3 linked regions of the Xenopus tropicalis genome follow. The protein of the gene in region 2 interacts with the protein of the main gene of each other region in a biochemical or structural test. Links are inferred from orthologs where the notes say so. Each region holds a gene or a part of one and is shown on either strand. Other genes may lie near its edges.

The links.
Region 1: the proteins of nfya (region 2) and sp1 form a complex in vitro, tested with the Homo sapiens proteins (2 studies listed by BioGRID). The link is inferred for Xenopus tropicalis from reciprocal best matches to the Homo sapiens genes NFYA and SP1.
Region 3: the proteins of nfya (region 2) and zhx1 form a complex in vitro, tested with the Homo sapiens proteins (2 studies listed by BioGRID). The link is inferred for Xenopus tropicalis from reciprocal best matches to the Homo sapiens genes NFYA and ZHX1.

Annotation. Positions count from the first base shown.
Region 1 is NC_030678.2:146,984,083-146,988,668, reverse strand, and holds the start of sp1 (transcription factor Sp1), read left to right. Parts: upstream 1-1,582; 5' UTR 1,583-1,631; coding exon 1,632-1,638; intron 1,639-1,945; exon of another isoform or gene 1,946-2,293; coding exon of another isoform or gene 2,294-2,393; intron 2,394-2,720; coding exon of another isoform or gene 2,721-2,723; coding exon 2,724-2,803; intron 2,804-4,586. UniProt on the Homo sapiens protein: Transcription factor that can activate or repress transcription in response to physiological and pathological stimuli.
Region 2 is NC_030678.2:71,398,166-71,402,022, reverse strand, and holds part of nfya (nuclear transcription factor Y subunit alpha), read left to right. Parts: intron 1-656; 5' UTR 657-696; coding exon 697-768; intron 769-972; coding exon of another isoform or gene 973-1,056; intron 1,057-1,439; coding exon 1,440-1,583; intron 1,584-1,759; coding exon 1,760-1,891; intron 1,892-3,857. UniProt on the Homo sapiens protein: Component of the sequence-specific heterotrimeric transcription factor (NF-Y) which specifically recognizes a 5'-CCAAT-3' box motif found in the promoters of its target genes.
Region 3 is NC_030682.2:139,787,212-139,791,068, reverse strand, and holds part of zhx1 (zinc fingers and homeoboxes protein 1), read left to right. Parts: coding exon 1-1,739; 3' UTR 1,740-1,742; intron 1,743-3,690; 3' UTR 3,691-3,857. UniProt on the Homo sapiens protein: Acts as a transcriptional repressor. Increases DNMT3B-mediated repressive transcriptional activity when DNMT3B is tethered to DNA. May link molecule between DNMT3B and other co-repressor proteins.

The sequences.
Region 1 (4,586 bases), about 76 Mb from region 2:
CCTTCCATCCACACGGACACTATGGGGCACATTTACTAATCCATGAATCCGAATCACGAATGGGTAAAAATCATATTGGAAACGAAAATTTCGGAAGATCGCAAATATCACGAAAATGCTTACGAAAAAATCGTATTAGTCACGATAATATCGTATTGGCGATCCGAAAGTTGCGAAATTTTCGTACCGAACAATTGTAAACAGTGGTAAAACCTTTATGATTTTTTCGTGCAAACGTCTGAAAAAGTCGTGCGGACGCCCGAAAAAATCGGCGAAAATACGCTCGGAGTGTTCACGCTTTTGTAAATGTGCCCCTATGTCGTTTTGCCTCAAGCAATATGGGAATTGAGCTACATGGAAGCATCAGCAAACTGTACTATAAAATGGAAGCTTAATGGTGATGGACTCAGTTACACCTTTAGGGCTCTGGCACATGGGGAGATTAGTCGCCCACGACAAAACTTCCTGTTCGCGGGCGACTAATTTCCCCGAGCTGCCTTCCCCTGCCATCCCACCGGCGAAAATGTAAGTCGCCGGTGGGATGGCACACGCGGCGGCGCGATTTAGCACAAATCGCCGAAGTTGCCTCGCGAGGCTTTTTCGCCGATTTGCAGGGGAAGGCAACTCGGGGAGATTAGTCGCCCGCGAACAGGGAGTTTTGTCGCGGGCGACTAATCTCCCCGTGTGCCAGAGCCCTTACAATCTAATAAATACAGCCAGGACTGTTTTCTCAAGAAAAGGCATTCATTTTTTATTGAGCAATATATTTCTATTAATGATAGGACTGACAATGCTTTACTGGACTGGCTGCTTAATAATTATTGATATCAATTTGGAAGAAGTGGCCCAATAAAGAAAATAAGCCTTATATATTGTGCTCGGCTTTATGTAACCTATGTCACTTTTTTTTATTGTTGTAACTCTGATATTTATTCTAAACCTGCTATTTTCTATGCACGACCCGTCCATCATTCCCTCTCTGTATTACAGATAATGCGGCCCCTTTAGTCACGTAGCCACTCAGTCGCAACTCCGACTGCTGCCATCTTGCTTCCTATTTGCACGTAGGCTGATGCCGAATAAAAACGAATACTTTAATAGCTGTGGCCAGTTATTCTAAATAATTAAAGAGCGACATTCTGCAATTCCAGCAAATGGCGCCCAAACCCTACAACGACCAGTCAAACTTTAATTTCCCTTCCCCTCCTCACACAGCTCTTCAATTGCTTGCTTTTCTCGTATGATTCGTCACTTAATGAAACGCCTTGGACTTCGTTCGATTATGATTGGCCCTTTTCAGTGTCACTCTAACCTTGGGAAGGGTTCAGACTAGAGAGCCACCACCCCCGCCACATTCTTTCATCTCCCTCCCCCATCACACACCGCCTCCGTGGCTGGGCGGGGTCACTCCACCTCTAATTGGTCAGCCTTCTCTGTCAGTCTCCAGCTAACTGCACCCACCGCGCCACCCCATTGGGCGGGTGGAGCCGCCCCTCGGCGGGAGTGGTTAGGCGGTCTGTCGATCTCCGCCCGTAGCCCCGCCTACTCACCGTCTCCGCCGCGCGGCAGCCAGGTTAGGTTGCCATCGTCAGCCGAGGTTTGTGTGAAGTACCTACGGCCCCAGAAACAACATGAGCGGTAAGCAGGAGAGTGGGCATAAGGGCGGGAGGTAACGCGGGTTCGCAAGCTTATCCCAGAGCCCCTCCTGGCTTGCTCGCACGCAGCTTGTGTGAGGGATCGCTCCCCCTGGCCACTTTGTGGGCTTTTTGCTGCGCGCCATGACTCGCTGGCGGAATGCTGAGAGCGGCCGGTACCACCGGAGGAGGAGGCGGGGGTGTAGAAATAAAGTCATATCCGCCCTCACTACTTCGTTCGTTCTCCTTCCTCGCCCCCTTTTTACTTTTCCCTATAACTGGAGAGGTGGTTGTGGCGGTAGAACCCCTCCCTGCTGTCCTCCTCTCCCGCCCTGTTTTTCTGCCCCCTTCGGTGGGTGGGGTAGAATTGTAAAATTGCCCCCCGCCCCTCCTAGCATGGTAGCCGGTACTTTTCGTGACACAGGGAAAGGGCAATACGTGACCCTAAAATGTTCCCCGGAACCCGTTGCCTTCGCCTATAATGTGAAGCCTGCGGCCCTCCTTCTGTAGCCCCCCCTGCCCAGAGCAATCCTTGCCTCACACTGGGGATATCTGCCCCTCTGGCGCCCAAACACTCCCAGTATCCGTAGCTGTGGGGTATCTGTAGTTCCCCTGAAACCATTATCCGCCCTCAGCTCGGGCAGTTTCACTGACATCGTATGGATGGGAGGGACCTTCATCCGGTAGATCCCTTCATTAACCTGCTGAACGGGGCCGCTGGGAGTTGTAGTTTGCCTCTGGAGTTGCCATTACTCGCAGGTGAAGCCTATGTAGACCATTTATATTTATTTGTAAATCATTTTACTTCTAGAACGTACTCCTCTACAGAGGGTTGTGGGAGTTGTAGTTCCACAACAGTGCTGCTAAGGCTATCTAGGCTGATAGATGGGAAACATGTTTGTGAGTCTCTTCACTTCCAGTATTGAGAGGTTTGTGAGAGTTGTAGTTCAGCAGTCTGTTTCTAAGCTGAGGGGTTTGTGTTTCTCAGGGAAGTAGGGCCGGCCATGTTGTAAGCCTGTGTGTGCATGTTTACTCACTGCCCTCACTCACACACTCTCTCTCTGTGCTTGTGCCCTTCGCTGACAGCAGATCAGGAGCACACGTCCGATGACATGCCTACGATAAAGTCCGAAAACCGGACAGGAGGTGGATACATCCAGAAGGGGCAGGTAAGCGGAACCCACCCATATTGCATTATACACAGATAGGCAGGGACCATGCCTGGGAACTATCCAGCCCTCTCGCCTTGGCTGCCTGTACACTGGATGAGCATGGGGGAGGGGGGCTGAGGCCTTTTTTTTTTTCCTCCTTTCTCTTTGAGAATGGCTGCTGTCCTCCCACCCTTTGGCTGGCAAACCTCCCACCCCCTGTTCCTGACTGCCCACTTGGGGCAGGCCCCAGAAACCCTTCCCCCCAGCCCTGTCCCTCCTGTTCTCTCTCTGGCTGTCTCCTTGACATGCTGGTTTGTTTACATGCTGGCACTCTTTGTGCTGTTGCTAATACTGCAAATGGCACCTAGGACATAGCCGTAGAAGGGTTAAATTGACATTCACGTTCAGTCTTGCATCTTATTGGCAGCTACATTTTTAATTAAATTCAGCAACTGCATCTGCTGCTTCGGCTGGTGGGGGCCGAGTGTAAATGGCAGTTAGGGTTAAATCTGCTCAGATTTGTAGCAAAGGCTGGAAAGGCAATGCTCCACTAAATTTCACTGAGTGTTATTTTTGCTATTGTGCAACAATAAAATATCACTTACAGCACACACCCAGTTTATTCCATTGTGGGTAGTACTGTCTTTGTACCAACACCCACCTAGGCATGGTTATCTCTGCAGCTTGTGCTGTCTTAGGCCATCGCAGGAGGTGGCGCCCCCAACTGATGATGTTGGATATCTTCCCAACGCTGAACCATGTATATGTAATAGAGTGCTACAGCTATAGAATCCCTTATCCAGAAAGCTCTAAATTGCTTGCAGACCATCATAGAACTAAGTTTAAAGGGCACCTATCACCATTTAGTTTCTTCCCGCCACCAGAGGTGTAGGCTTTAGAGCCCGCATTCTGGAAAACAATAGGTTTTTTTTTTTAAACAGCCCCCACGGGCGGCCATGTTATTTAGCGTGCATGTGCATAATGAGCAAGACTCCTCACTCATTGTGCGCAAATGTGTGACGTAGGAGCAGCACACACACACACACATATATATATATATTATATGTGTGTGTGTTTCCCCCAACCAGAGTGCGGGCTCTATTAGCCTGCACCAGGATGTGGGGAAAGCAATTCGATGTGATATTATGCTAATAATACTAATTTATAAAAATGATTTCCCTTTTCTCTGTAATAAAACAGTAGCTTGTAATCGATAGTATCTTAGCTGCATAAATCTGGGGCAAAACAATTCTTTTGTGTTTTGTATAGTGATGCAAATTACTCAAATCCCTTAAACCTAGGTCCATGCATTCAGGGTAATAGGTCCCATTCAAAGCTGTTTGTTTTTTTTTTTTTTGACAACAAATTTTCTTCCATTATTGACTTTCCATTATATTTATTATTTTAATGTAAAATAAGTAATACTGTGTGTTTTTCCTGGGAATGCACACTAACATGCCTGGGCAATGACCCACCTGCACCATTACCTCTCTCACTAACATTGGGGTAAGCTAAGGCTAATGCCACACGTAGCATATGGTGCATTGGCCTGCCTTCTCCTGTAAGGTGGTCACTCTTTCTACCATCTTTCTGTGTGTCATTCCTCAGTACATTTATGACCTTATCTTTTTTTTATGTGTGTGTGACATTCATATATCTTCCCTGTGCAGCACTGTCTAACCTATGGTCATAAAGTCAAAAGTCATACTAGTCTTTCTAAAATAAGGGCAGTGTATAGTTCCTAACACTTCCCCTGGTTCTTGCAGTTAGCTTTTAGGCTCCACCCAGATCTGACACTGTA
Region 2 (3,857 bases):
GTATCTGTTCCTATGCAACTGATACTGTTGAAAATATACACCTATATAGACTTTTGCTTTAAATTACCACAATAAATAGGGACTTGTGTTGAACATGTATTCTGCCTATTATTTGATTAAAAAAAAAAAAAAATTCCGAAATTTTTTTAAGCACGCTGACAATCCTCTCCTAGTTGTGCCTGCACCCAAAAGCATTGAAGCCACCTGGGTGCAGGCATATGTAGTTTTTATCTGCAAACAAACGTGAGACTTGGCATTTGTTGGTAGATATCAGCTGCGTGTGCCTGTAAGACCTTGCCAGACGTGAGATAGGATACGGCTCGTTATATAGAATGCTTATTTGTGGACTGGTAATGTGTTGTATGAGCTTCTTCTACATTTGGCATAATCAGAAAGTCTTTTTTTTTTTTGTAACAGTTAGTTAGAAAGCTTGAAAAGAGCAAAAAACATATCTTTTTTTTTTTTTTTTTAAGCAAAATAATATCCAAAGATAATTTTTTCCAAATGCCCTATTTATTAAGCTCATGTTGCAAATGGCTATATACTGCCCCTTTTAGTAATCCTTGTCAGCTAATGAAGAGCAGTAATACGTCATCATCTACAAATCCAGCTTATACCTCATGTAACTATATTATCACACTTTTGTCTTTTAATAGGTGCCTTTAAACTGCATTGTGTAGTCTTTCTAAGGAGCAGATGGAGCAATTTACAAGCAGTAACGGCTCCCCAGAGCAAATAGTGGTTCAGGCTGGACAGATCCAGCAGCAGGTGAGCATTTCTATGAAATGATGTGTATTGTGTTAGGATTTCGTATTATTTAAAAGTATTTTTTATTTTGAAACTATAAAGCCGTTCAGTGCCTTGTTGCAGGAAGTTAGTGGGAATCACTGAATGTTCCAGTATGTGATCTTTGGAAAGACACATGCTGCTTTTTCATGGTCTGGCTGTTTCTTCTTGTTCCTCTCCCCTTAGCCGGGTGCGGTCACTGCTGTCCAGTTACAGACCGAGGCTCAGGTGGGAGCAGCCTCGGGGCAGCAAGTTCAGACCCTCCAGGTAGTTGTGTCTGTTAGCTGCATGAGTCACATTTATTGCACTCCATGCAGTATTTGTATGAATAATGCTTCTATCACATAGAGTGCATTTTGTATAATCTTTGTATCCAAGCACTTATCATGTTTGAACTTTTAATATGTTGTCTGTTTTATATACTTGCTTACTTATTCAAAGTACAGCATGAGCCCAATACCTTGAGTTACTCCTTTTACCTACTTTGCATGAGCCTGGCTTTTCTGTCATTGCCTATCACCCCTAACCCACCTTTTGCTAAGAGTTCTTGTATTTGTGGCTTTCTCTGTTTTTGTCTTTACTGAAAATTTCCAGCATAAAATATTTGTATAGTTAAATTAGATTTACAACAATTGTTATTTTTTTTTACATAGGTACAAGGTCAACCACTTATGGTGCAAGTCAGTGGGGGGCAACTGATCACCTCTACTGGACAGCCAATCATGGTACAAGCCATGGGTGGCCAAGGTCAGACTCTTATGCAGGTGCCGGTATCTGGATCCCAAGGACTGCAGCAGGCAAGTGCATTAGATATGTGAATAATATGAAATGCACATATTCTGTGCTTTATATTACAAACATTCGAGTATTCAGTTAGAATATCAACTAGATTTTATTAGGTACATAATACTGTGGTTATGTTCCTATTCTTAGTGGGACAAGCTATATCTTGCCGTTTAAACCTTTCTTACAGATACAGCTGGTCCAACCAGGGCAGATTCAGATTCAAGGAGGACAGGCTGTACAGGTTCAAGCCCAGCAAGGGCAGCCCCAGCAGATTATTATACAGCAACCACAGACAGCTGTAACTGCAGGACAAAGTCAGGTGAGTAGAAGTAACAAAGTATTCCTGTGTTATATATAGGTTGAGAGGTTAATTTGAAGAGATAACTGAAACAAGGGCAATTCTTTAAATGTAAAGGTATCCCTCTTGTCCTTCATTCTTTTCATTTTGAGAAGTAATCCCCTGTCTATATTTTATTACTCCCATAGTGCCCTCTAACTTATAAATAAAGAGTTTTGATGTTTGCTTAAAACATCGCTTCCGCAGTGAAATTAAACCCATCTTTCCTCATAGCTTAATTTTGCACTCTTTTATTATTCTTCCTGATGCGAAGGGAACCAAAACGGCAATGCTTATTAAGACGAGGAAAGTCAAATTGTGTGAGGGCTGCCAATTCATTAGGCTTCCCCCATTGAATTAAATTGCTAACATTTACCCTGGGCCGTTGCTTTGTCTGGTGAAACAAAATTCACCGGCCCAGCTTTATGCCTGTTTAAGCATCGTGCTGCTATCGAACCCCAATTTACCAAGTATCCCTTGCGATTCCGCTAGACTTGCATATGTGCATGTTATAAAGATTCCTGATATTATAGTGCACACGCGTAGTGTGGTGCAGGGGATCTGTGGGAAACTGAGGTAAGATGGCAGTTTGGCTATTGAAGTTATAACCCTGGACCACTGCATTTATTTCCAAAAAGGAGCCCTGACCAGGGGAAAAGAATTTAGTGATTTAATTCACAGGGGTTCCTAATCAATTAAGACCATCACCTGTTATTCGACTATAAGGTAATTTACCAAAAATGTATAAAGTGCCATAATGATGATTTTATCTCTATACTATACCCTCAGTTATAGGGAGTACTTTATTAATGCTAATAGATTGACACTGCCTAGACTTGTGTCTGTTATCAACAATAACTACAGAATTGTTCACAGTTTTGGAGACCCCAGCACATTTCTGAACTAGAGTTCATGGTATTTTCCAAAGTGCATAACTACATTATTTATCAATTCAAAATATCATTAGATCACAATATAACACTCTCTCCCTTTTCCTAAGGGCAAAGTCACGAGAAGTGTTGGCTCCGCTTCTCTCCACCTGTGTTTTGTAGGCAGGCAAAGAGAAGCAGATCCGCTCTCTCCACATTACTGTGTAGGTGCACTGACAGGTACAGCTTTGGCCTTAGTGCAGCTACACAGAATGGAGATCAAATGAAAATGCCTACCTCAAGGTTTTTGGGACGATCTCTGCCCTCAGCCAACAGTACATGTAGTTTTGCCCTAAAGTCCATTATGCAGGGAGGTTACACGTGCACTGGTAATCTAATTATCTTCCAAGGAACAATTATGAAGTAGTTTCAGCTTTAAAAAGCATTTTGTAAGTAAATCATTAGGCAAATAGTATGCGATAAGCCCTATTCATTTAACTCATGTTAAAGAAGGTGGTACACTGCCCCTTTGAAATGTAAAAATTTAAAACTATTCAGCCAATGAGAGACCCCGCTCCAGGCCAAATAATGAGAAGTTAAAGAGCCCGGCTGGGAGGCACAGACTGGGGGGGTTTCGGTCCAACAGTGCGTTATAGGGGCATGAGGGGCAGAGGCATTTAGTAGGCGGAGCAATCTGAGTGACACGTCTCCTTAGCCAATGACACGGCACCTGGGTACGGCTCACAGAGGAGTGGGCGTTCCCTCTGACTCACAGTGACAGCCAATAGAAATAAAGCATCAATTACCCAGAGTCCTTTGTTGTATTCTGGGATGTATTAACTGCCCGAATTTACTGGCCAATTGGAACTAATACAGGGGTCACCCCCCCCACTGTGACCAACCCTCCCCCCACTGTGACCAACCCCCCCCACTGTGACCAACCCCCCCCACTGTGACCAACCCCCCCCCCACTGTGACCAACCCCCCCCACTGTGACCAACCCCCCCCACTGTGACCAACCCTCCCCCCACTGTGACCAACCCCCCCCACTGTGACCAACCCCCCCCCCACTGTGACCA
Region 3 (3,857 bases), on a different chromosome or scaffold from region 2:
TACACGGTGCTTACAACAATTTTCCCTACCCCACAGTCTCGGAAATTAAACTCCTTACTTCTCAAACCAAATTCACAGAGGAGCAAGTAAAAATCTGGTTCTCTGCGCAGCGCCTCAAGCACGGGGTCAGTTGGACGCCCGAAGAAGTGGAAGAAGCGCGGCGAAAGCAGTGCAACGGTACAGTTCATACCGTTCCTCAGACAATTACAGTGATTCCTGCTCATCTGTCCACTGGTGCCAATGGTTTGCCTTCTATTTTTCAAACGTGCCAAATAGTAGGTCAGCCAAGTCTTGTTCTCACCCAGGTTGCAGGTACAAATGCATTACCTGTGACTACACCCATAGCATTGGCTGTAGCTGGAGTTCCAAACAGTGCCCAGCTGCAGAAGGCCCCACTGGCCACCACCCAACCAATACCAGAAACAAAACGAGTGTTGACTATCCCCGCACCACAGATTCCCAAGCAGGAACAGACTGTGATAGGTATTGATTTCAGTATGCGTTCAAAGAAAACAAAGGAACAGTTGACTGCACTGAAAATTAGCTACTTAAAAAGCCAGTTTCCACATAATTCCGAAATTGAACGCTTAATAAAACTGACAGGTCTCACAAAAGGGGAGATCAAAAAATGGTTTAGTGATACGCGATACAACCAAAGGAATTCAAAGGGTAGTCATGGTATTCATTTCACTAGTGACGGTGGGGGCATAATCTTCGATTCTGGCGATGAAACAATAGACTCTCCTACTCTCGTGCCACCACCGCAACGCAGCAGGCAAACTTGGAACCCTTTCCCAGATTTCACACCTCAGAAGTTTAAGGAAAAGACTGCAGAACAGCTTGATGCTTTGGAGGAAAGTTTTCTAAAAAACTCTGTACCCACAGATGAGGAACTAAACAAATTAAGGGTTCAGACTAAACTAACAAGAAGAGAAGTCGATGCCTGGTTCTCGGAGAAAAGGAGATCTACAGGCATAAAGGAGGAAGCAAGTGACCTTAATGAGAGTAATGCAGGCCTGTCTATAAAAGAAGAGGTGGACGCAAATTTTGGGGAAAGTGATGCTTTGGGAAATAAGTCGGGGGCAATGTTTCCGGCAAAGCTTGGAAAAAAGTCCCCGGAACAGTTGCACATGCTTAAAAATGCATTTGTGCATTCACAGTGGCCATCCTCGGCAGAATACGATAAGCTGGCGGATCAAACAGGACTTGCCAGGAGTGATATTGTGGCCTGGTTTGGAGACACGAGGTATGCGTGTAAGCATAACAATCTGAAATGGTTCTACCAATATCAAGGGCAGAACCAGAACATTATGAATGGCCAAACCTCAACTCGAAAACGGGGAAGAGGCAGGCCGAGAGGTAGAGGAAGAGGGAGGCCTCGAGGGCGTCCAAAGGGTCCAAGAAGGACAAATAATTGGGAGAGGGTGACGGTGCCAAAACACAAAACTGGGAAAGCACTGCTAAAGGACTACTATGGGACACACAAATTCCTTAACGAGGAAGACCTCGACGAATTGGTTTCCAAATCTCGCATGGGCTATGAGCAGGTGAGGGAATGGTTTGCAGAAAGGCATCAAAGAGAGGATGCTGGTCTGGATCCTTTTGATGAAGAGGAAGAAGACGAGGATGACTTTTTGGATGACCAAGATGATGAGGAAGAGAATGGAGACACGGATGATAGCGACACCTGGGAGCCCCCAAGACACGTTAGGCGCAGACTTTCTAAAAGGGATGATTGATTTGTAAGTAGGATCTGTACATATGTAATACTGCTAAATCTCAAGCATTTTGTTAAAAGGGGAACTAAACCTTTGGGGGCCAGGAGCTTTATATATGAACTAGCTATTGTGGCTGTATTTCCCAAAATCCAAATCCTCTGAATGTCTCTTTACAAAATGACTGACTTCCCAGTGAAACATCAGCAAATTACAAGGTTAAATCTTTCTTAGGAGTTGATGCTTCAGGGCTGATTATTCATTTTGATGCAGAATGCACTGGTTTCCATGCTGTCATGTAATGTGAATTTTATATTGTATGGGTGTATTTGCGTATATCTATGTATATCTATCTATTTATCGCTATATAGAAAGATATAGATATATAATATAAAAGAGAGTGTAAGGGCTCTTGCACACGGGGAGATTACAAATCTCCCTGTTCGGGGGCGACTAATCTCCCCGAATTGCCATCCCACCGGCGAAAATGTAAATCGCCGGTGGGATGGCATACGCGGCGGCGCGATTTCACTGAAATCGCGGAAGTTTCCTCTCTGCCAGAATAGAAAAAAAGGATGCTATTGGTGGCTGAAATCTTACCTGCCAAAGGGCTGGGGTTACATTTACCTTAGCAACCAGGCAGTGGTTTGAAGAAGAAGAAGAGGGCCTGACTAGAGTTCTGGAAAGAATCAGTAAAACTCTAGCCGCACACAGTTGGGGTTCGCAAGCCCCAACAACCCAAGTATATTTTTTTGTTGAAATATCTGTGTTGTTGCATTTTGTCTTAAACTGCAACAGGACAAAAACCAGCACGTTCCAACATTTCAATGTGGTCAACAGGTCATGTGACTCCTTCGAAATCCTGTCAGGGGAGAAGGGACTAAAACATTGATGTTACTAATGGTAACAGCTTCTCCACCGCTTACAGACAGCATGCAACTACACAACCCACAATGCATTGCACTGTGATGTTCTTTTCCTTATTGACATCACGTGTGCAGCAGGGAATTGTGGGATTGGGAGGATGTAGGCTGAGGACAGGCGACTACTGTTACATTTTATTTGAGTGTCATGAAAAGGCTGCATATTTTTTAACTGATATTATTTTTAAAGTTGCTCGAAATTATGTGTCTTTTTAAAAAGCTAAAGTTGTGTTTGGGTGGAGTTCCCCTTTAATATAGCCTATCACCCTCATAGCTTTCTCTCTCTGCATCAGAGTCGTAATTGCCTGCCATTGGCTCAGTGTATATTAAGTGGAGTACCTTGATTGGGCTGTGCCCCACACAAAAAATCTTTGAGGCGGCCTGGCACATACCCTGTAGCACAGCCCCTCCCTTCCACCCTCGCTCTTGCACATCCAGGGGACACGGGGGCCCAGGCAGCAGGGTCTGATGTGTGCTAGTTTTCCCTTTAATCTTCGCTGCTCATTTGGGGCATGTGGCAAATATTTCAGAGAAGGGGATGGAAAGGGGAAACTTACACAGACCCACCATCTGGGCCCCCCGTGCTGTTACGCCACTCTCAAAATTTCCTTACTATAGACTTTGCGGTATCATCAAACATTGTCATTCTCCCCCTAAAACATTATTTATTGAATATGTTGGGGAACTAGTAATGTCCAGACTTGCGCCAAACCCACCCCTTCTCAACCGAGGCCCAACCCCTACCAGTTCTGAAAAGGGACTCTTACTCTGGATCTTGTGCTTTAGCAAAGGGCATGTCAACCCCCCAAACAAAAATATTAGTTAAAAGCTTCAATGCAATCTTCAAATACCTGGCACTCTGGCAGCTTGCTTAGTCCCTCCCTTCAGAATTCTCCTTGGCGTTGGGAGCCATGTATGCTTTCAGCCAGCTTTTCTTGCATATGTTCAGCAGGGCGGTCGATATGTGTAAATAACTGTGCATTTTAATAAAATAATAAATGTTTGTTTAACCATTTTATTAACAGATATCATTTTTCCCCTACTTCCCACAGACAAACGACAAGAAGTTCCAGTTACTGTGAGTGGGGTACCTTTTCTCTTTTTGAAAACCGTGAAACACCGAGGACGATGACTTTGGGGAAGGCCGGAAGTCAGTGCTGTGCCAAAGTCGCTGTTGTGCAGTCAGAGGACGTTACTGTAAATAGAACTATGTGGGGAG